Canis lupus familiaris: one gene and its partner. The protein of the gene in region 2 interacts with the protein of the main gene of each other region in a pairwise test. Links are inferred from orthologs where the notes say so. Each region holds a gene or a part of one and is shown on either strand. Other genes may lie near its edges. The genes, in order: FXN and DAPP1.

The links.
Region 1: the proteins of DAPP1 (region 2) and FXN interact in binary tests that used the Homo sapiens proteins (3 or more experiments, as listed by UniProt). The link is inferred for Canis lupus familiaris from reciprocal best matches to the Homo sapiens genes DAPP1 and FXN.

The regions. Positions count from the first base shown.
Region 1 is NC_049222.1:88,982,060-88,985,969, forward strand, and holds the start of FXN (frataxin, mitochondrial), read right to left. Parts: upstream 2,815-3,910; 5' UTR 2,780-2,814; coding exon 2,612-2,779; intron 1-2,611.
Region 2 is NC_049253.1:18,115,526-18,119,435, forward strand, and holds the start of DAPP1 (dual adapter for phosphotyrosine and 3-phosphotyrosine and 3-phosphoinositide), read right to left. Parts: upstream 2,602-3,910; 5' UTR 2,143-2,601; intron 1,542-2,142; exon of another isoform or gene 1,443-1,541; 5' UTR 1,408-1,442; coding exon 1,307-1,407; intron 1-1,306. UniProt on the Homo sapiens protein: May act as a B-cell-associated adapter that regulates B-cell antigen receptor (BCR)-signaling downstream of PI3K.

The DNA of each region.
Region 1 (3,910 bases), on a different chromosome or scaffold from region 2:
GGAGTTATGTAACAGATGGCAACATGTGGCAAGCTCTCCTTGGAGCTACCTCCAGTGCACCAGGGAAAGTTTGAGGATCAGTGCCTGATAGAACCAGATGCCTCCCTGGGCCACAGAGTTGCACACTTAGAAGGAAAGCATTTCTGTAGATTCTGGGTTCTACTGAGAACCCAGAATGTTGAGATGATAATATTTTGAAAAACGAGATTACATAAATGTAGTGTTGGAATCTTTTTTTAAAACTAACCTCTAGGCCCAACATGGGGCTTGAACTAATGACCCTGGGATGGAGAGTCATATACTCTATCAACTGAGCCAGCCAGGTGTCCCACTGTGGTATCGAAATTAATTTCACCTGCTTTTTTATATTCTGTCAACGTAATGTAGCTACTAGAAAATTTAGAATTACACACGCACCTCCCATTCTATTTCTTTTGCACGGTGCTGTAGAAGTAGGATAGGGAATAGAGAAAATAAGGATGGGGAAGAGGCCCACCCACTGAACTCAGGTCCTGGTGAGTTCTGGCGCGCAGAGACGTTAGGAGTCAGCCTGAGGACAGTTCAGGCCTTAAAACAAATTAAACAAGGTGATCCCAGTTGCCATCGTCATCCACCCAACTCCGCAAGTATTGGAGATGTGTAAGCGAACTTGTGTTACAGACAAGCTCAACAAACTCAATTAATTTACATGGTAGAGGAGGCCCAGTGGGGTGATTCAGGTTGATTACTATCTCCCAACCTCCCAAGACTCCTAATCCCAATGTGTGTCCAGTGCCCACCCGCTGCGTGGCAGCTCTAAGCTGGGCATGCTTCTGAGTCAACAGCCCTCAACAGCCACTAGGTACCATCCAAGAGACCATGCCATATCTTGTCACTGTCCTAAATTAAAAACTGCTGCCAATCCATGGCCCACAGGGGTCGAAGTGCAAGCCAGGGCAGCTCCAGGTGGGAACAGCACAGAACAGCCCAGGAGAAGGGTAATGTCTGTGTTCTGCACTGGGACATCGTGGAACCAGCATGGTCACAACTGCCTATTTTTCTGGAGAAGCTGCAAGATCCAGTATCAAAGGTCCCAACTTTGAGTGTTGGCAACCAATTCTAACTTTTCTTCACACACGGTCAAATAACAGGGCCGTGGGAAGTTTAAGTCTAAAGTCCCAATTCCAGAGCTCCACAGGCAATTTGGGCTGGACTTCACCTGCCTTCCTCACCACGCAGGGTCCACCCAGCCACTCAGCTACTGTCCACCTGCCTACCCGGCCCAGGCAGGTCCCCCTTTTAGGATGCTGCTCTCTTGCCACCTCCAAGCGCCACCTCCAAGCCGGGTTACACATCCCGTCTACCCCGCTGAGTCTTCCTCACTCCACAGCCACTCCTTGGGCTGCCTCCTCTCAGGTCTTGGGATTGCCTGGGTCAGATGCTTCACTGCATCCCCAAGGGAAGGAAAGAGAATTAACTCCCAGAGCTGAAGACTTTATTATCACGTTCAGCCAACTGGATCCTCACCCCAGCTCGGCGGGATGAATGTCCTCATCCTTTCATCTCTAGACCGAAAAGGAAGCCAGGCCTCTGGGAGGGGTGGTCCCCGGGGTCGCAGAGCTCTGCAGAACCAGGCCGAGGAACCCAGGCCGGGTCCTATTCCAAAAGCTTTGCTGCGCTACCTACTGCGCTCCAGGGCCTTGGTAGTTCCACCTGGCTCCAAGGAAGCTTTTCGTTCATAAAAGCACATTCTTGAACACATTGCTCTAGAGTTATAAACACACACTACTACACACTGCTTTGTTGGTATGTGTGCTGTTTCAGTCTATTTACATATATTTACGCAGATGCTAGGATCATCTGCCATACACATGTGTGGTGCAGTACCCAGTACCGTATATAGTAGCACTTAAACCTTAGTTCTGGCAGAGGGAGGCGGCGAGCTGGGCGACCACCACGGACCCCCGGGAGCGGGTCCCCCGCCACCTTCCCTCCGTGGGCGGTCGGGCGGGTGCCGGGCCTCCGCGCTGCGTGTCCCCCGCCGTGGCAATGCACTGCCCTTTCGCACCGGAAAGCAGAGGCCGGTGCAAACGTGACCCCGGGCACCAGGAGGCGGGCTGCGCGGCCGGGCACCCCGCGGAGAGGGCAGCGCGCTCCCCCGCCGCCCGCCGCCCGCAGAGCGCGTCCCCGCCCGCAGAGCGCGTCCCCCGCGGGCAGAGCGCATGCCCGGCCGGCAGAGCGCGTCCCCGGCCGCAGAGCGCATGCCCGGCCGGCAGAGCGCGTCCCCGGCCGCAGAGCGCATGCCTGACCGGCAGAGCGCACGTCCGGCCAGGAGAGCGCGTTCCCGCCCGCAGAGCGCGTCTCCCGCGGGCAGAGCGCGTGCCCGACCGGCAGAGCGCGTCCCCTGCCGCAGAGCGCATGCCCGGCCGGCAGAGCGCGTCCCCGGCCGCAGAGCTCGTCTCCCGCGGGCAGAGCGCATGCCCGGCCGGCAGAGCGCGCCCCCGCCCGCAGAGCGCGTCCCCGGGCCGCGGCGCCGCCGGAGCCCCGTGAGCGCGCGTGCCCGCAGCGTCCCAGCGTGCGCGGCCTCCTCCGCCCGCCTGCGGCCCGGTCGGCTGCGCGGCGCGGTACTCACGGCGTGGCTGGGCCCGCGGGCCGCTCCTGTCCCGACGCGCAGCCCCCGGCCGCCGTGGAGCGGGGCGGCCCTCGTGGGCCCCCGGGTCCCCGCGCCGGCCGCGGCTGAGCCCGGGGGTGCCGAGCGGGGCAGGAGGCCGGCGGCGGCGCGGCGCCCGAGCGTCCACATGCTCCTCGCGGTCTGCGGCCGCTCCGCCCTCCGGCTCCGGGGACGCCGCGGCGACACCTGCTGGCTACGGGCGGCAGGCGGCGCGGTGGGGCTCGGCGCTCCGGCGGGCTGCGGGCTGCGGGCTGCGGGACGGGCCCGGGGTGGACCCGGGAAGCGCTTCCCCGCCTTGCACGGCCTCCGTATTTGACAGAGGGAGAGCGCGCTGCGTGCAAAGCACAGGGCTTGCCCCCGGCAACAGGCGAAGGCGTGACCTCGGTCCTCGGTCCTCGGAGCCTTGGGCCTGGCGACCCACGGCTGCAGGGTTCTAGCCAGGAAGGGTTTGCGAGCTGCAGCCTTGCTGGGACCTGGACGCGGCGCAGGCCTTGAACCCGCTTGGCTGTGCGAGGTTGGAGCCCTTGGGACCCGCACACTGCAGAGGGATTGCCCGGTTTGCGGCCGAACTCTGTACTTGGCAGCTGTGTGACCAGTGGGCGGGTTAATTCACTTCTCCGTGCCTCATCTGGAAAGCGTGGTTTATAAAAAGTTTCTTCTTAGGTTTTTTTTTTTTTTTTTTAGATTTTATTTATTCATGATAGACATAGAGAGGCAGAGACACAGGCAGAGGGGGAAGCAGGCTCCATGCCAGGAGCCCGAGGCGGGACTTGATCCCGGGACCCCAGGATCGTACCCTGGGCCAAAGGCGGGTGTTAAACCGATGAGCCACCCAGGGATCCCCTTCTTAGGGTTGTTTTAAGGATAAAATGAGTTAATCTATGTAAAGGGTTTTTTTTTTTTTTTTTTAGACTCTGCTAAATGCACGCTATTAAGTTGTTAATACATTTTAAGTAAAAGACAGTTTTACTTAGGTTGTATATTGCAAAGGAATGCAAATTGTGGGAATGCAAATTGTGAACATTTATATTTTTATTTATTTTTAAAGATTTGTTTGTTTATTCATGAGAGACGAGAGAGAGAGAGAGAGAGAGAGACAGAGAGAGGAGAGAGAGAGGCAGAGACCTAGGCAGAGGGAGAAGTGGGGAGCCATATGTGGGGCTCAATCCTGAGATTACTGGACCACACCTTGAGCTGAAGGCAGATGCTCAACCATTGAGCTACTCAGGCGTCCCTTTATTTATTTGACACAGAGAAACC
Region 2 (3,910 bases):
TGAGAGCCCAAAGGTCTAGCTTTAGTGCCTGGACTTTGTGACACCTGTTTGGATGCTCAGGGGTATTTTACCCTTCCACTTTGGAGATTCATCCTAGAAGAACAGTGGTATCTGAGAACTCTGAATTCCCAGTAAGGGGAGTTGACTATGGAAAATTCTCACTGTTATATCTGATTTATCTAGTGAGGGTAGAGTTCAATTCTGAGACCTCCATTTTAAAATCTGAAGGCTGGACTTATGGAGAACTTTTACAATAATACCACACAAAAGATATAATCTCTGCTGACTTAATGCAGAGATTTCATCCCTGTTTCAGTTTTTCTCTGGCAAAGAACATAGGCTTTTGCAGGTTGAAATCCCAGTTTTGCCATTTGTTGATGTGTGATGTAGGAGAGTTCTTCAACCCCTTGGGTGCCATTTTCTTCCTTTGTAAGTTGGAGATAATAGGCTCTATGTCACTGGGTTGCTGTGGAGACAGTGCTATTTATGAAGAGGTGCTGGTCTTGCCTCTTGTGAAGCACAGGTGTCAAAATCAGCCTCATTAGGATATTTCTGGTGCTTTAGGGTAAAGGTCCAGTTTTTCCAGGAAACCCCCTACACCTCTCTTGTGTAATACTTGCTTCTTTTATTAAATACCCTGATGGGTTGTCTCATCTGGTCCCTTCTTAAAGACAGGACTAGGATGATGCCACCTTACCTAAACTTATAACCTGTTTGAGGCAGGAATTTTATCCTCTTCCTGACTTGTTAGTATTTAAAAGGCTCAAAGTTGCACCTACAAGACACACATACATACAAGACAAATGCAGTGTCAGGAGAGAGAAACACAGATGAGACAGTGCAGACACTTCCTCATTCTTTCTGTTTTGAAAAAGTCCCTCTCCGATGCAATAGGCTAGGCTTTCTGTTTATCTTACTGGCAATGCAGCCCTCTTACTGTCAATAGCTTAGAGCTCCAAACTTCTGAACAGCACTTTTATTCATAAACCAGATCTGCACCAAGGAAACCAAGTAACATCGACTCATACATCTCAATCCTGTTCCTAGTCTCAAAGAATGCCCAACATTTGATTTTTGTCCCATTTTTTCTGCTTACATGTTTTCACTCTTGGGAAAATACTATATGCCTTTAAAATGTGATTGGCCCCAAGCAGAAAGATGCCTAACAGACACAAAGGGGTGAAGTGGAAAGCGAAGAGGACTGAGACGGCAAGGTGCTGAAGATAGTCAACCGAAGTGAACATCTGGGAGGGAATTGGGAGTCAATGGTCACCCAAGAAGTACTTTGAAAAGACTTGCTTCTTACCCCAATTCCTGAAGCAGCTCAGCATCTCCATCTGATCTGCTCCACAGATCTGAAGGATCCTGGGTGCTCATCTTCCCTTCGAGAGACTCTGCTCTGCCCATTCGCGCTCCTCACGTCCCCCAGCCCCTGCCAGTTGCTATGGGAAGAGGCAGAGAGAGAGAGAGAGAGTTGGGTCTACTGCTCCTTGCGCTCTCCTCCTCTGAGAGAGAAGCCTGCTGTGGCTGGGCTCCAACCAGCAAGGAAGTGAAACTTGGGTTACTCCTCCCACTGACACTCACCACCCTGGCCCTGAGGCACGGGCAGGAGTCTTCTGTCAGCCAGGAAGTATGCAAACGTAGGTAGCTACTCTGAGGGCACCCACGCTGCATCATGCAACATGCAGTTTCTGTCAAAGGAAAGTAAGATGAAGTCACCCCAGCTGGGCTTGGACTATCCATCCATTCAGGCTCCTTTGGCAAGGCCAAACATAGTTTCTCCCAGGTGCTATTATCAGCCCTGGGAGAAGAGGGTACAGGCACCCCCATCTTCCATCTCATGCGCCAACGCAAGGGGCTCCGAGGAAGCTTCTGTATCAGGAACATCTTTACGGCGGGTGTAGAAATCAGAGTCAAACCATTAGCCTCGATCCTCAAGTCTGGTTTTTAGTGCCTTCTCGATACTTCTGCCTTGATTACCCAAGCTTTTCAACATGCCCGTGGCATTCAGACTGGCAAGATTCAGAGACAACTGCTGTTTTCTCTGAGGAGGAAGGATGGGGTGAGATGGCAGGAGAAGTTGGAGGACCAGCCTGGTGCGGGGAGCCTGGGAGCCCCCCCTCCTTCACTGGGCTTACTCACCGCTGGTATCGGTGCAGCAGAGCAGCCCGTCTGCCTGCAGGTGCTCCAGGGAAACTGCAGCAATGCTGAGTGTCTGGGAGTCGGACGAAGTGGGGTAGTAAATGAACAAAGAACATGTGTGGCTTCCCGCCTTCTCTCTCTATTTACATGCAGGAGAGAATGTGCTTCTGGATTCTTTCCCTTCTCTCTATCTCTCTTACCCTAACTCACTCAGGGGTCACCGGGGTGCTCTGTAACCCAAGGCCAGCAGCATTGGCATGACTAGGGGCTTGTCGCAATGCAGAGCTTCTGTCCCAGCCAGTCCGGACCAGCATCTGCATTTAAACAAGATCCCCAAGGTAACTCCCGTGCCCGTTCAAGTTTGAGGAGACTGCCTTGCAGGATGCCAGGACAGAGGAGCTGTTCCTAAAGCAGAGGATCTGCATCTGGCACCATTCCGCCTTTCCTTACGGCTCTTCCCTTGGGAAACGTACAAGGGAGGTGGGGGGGTTGGGGTGACTGGGTGACAGGCATTGAGGGGGGCACTTGACGGGATGAGCTCTGGGTGATATGCTATATGTTGGCAAATTGAACTCCAAAAAAAAAGAAGAAGAAAAAGAAAAGAAGAAGAAAAAAAAAAAAGAAAAGAAAAGAAAAGAAAAGAAAGAAAAGAAAGAAAAGAAAGAAAGAAAGGAAAAGAAAAGAAAATCTTTGAAATAAAAAAAAAATGTTTTCCCTCGTGTTCCTGTTTGTCAGTGATTGGGGAGACCCTGGCTTACTTTGATTGTGTGGGAGAAATTCCTGATGTCTAAACACAGCCTGGGGGAGAGACTAAGCTCTGATAACACTCTTGTAACTGATTGTACGTGAACATTTACAATTCTTTTTGCTACAGCGTGGACGGAGAGGAGCACAGGGTCCTCTTGCAACAGACGCCAGCCCCGGCCTGGGAGGTGCTGAATGTACATTTGGCAGAGATCGGGGCATCTGGGCAGAGATTTCCTGTTCTCTTTCTAGAGCTTTTTGTTCAGTGTTTCAGTATCTATCTTGTTCCCATTTTAGCAGATTCTGGTTTTTCTTTTACTTAACCTCTCCTCTCTCTCTCTCTCTTTTTTTTTTTTTTTCAGGAAAGAAGCAAAGCTTACTAATATCACCCTCTTCCCATTTTCAGTCTTCCTGCCTTCCTCCTGTTCTCATTTTGCTACCCCATTGGTGACCTTCTCCTCTAATGTCATTCTTTCTGTCACTTACCCCGTTTCCCCCAGGCAGTCTCCTTTCCCTACTACCCCCCTGCTCCACTAACTACACATTTAGCATTGGAGCAGTACCAGCTGCTGCAGCATTACCACTTGGATTCAACAAAATGCTGGGTAGTCGTCAAAATACTGGATAATATATTTAACAATAGATTGTTTAGATATTATACACACATAAGCATATATACATATGTGTGTATATACATACACATATATATATACTTCAAGAAACTGCAACTTTTGCTTCCAAACAAATAGGAGGTATATATATATTTATATAATTTATATAATATATTATATTATAAATATAATAAATAAATTATAAATATAAATATTATTTAACTTACTTCAATATTCTTTTAACTTACTTCTTTTTTAACTTACTTCAATATTCTTTTCAATAGTAGTGATTCCTAGCACTAAATTCTTTCCATGTGGGTTTTGAACATAGAAACGGATACAAACAACCAAGCTGTTTTAACAATTCTGGAACATCTTATGCTTTGTTGGAAACATTTTTATTTATCAAGAAA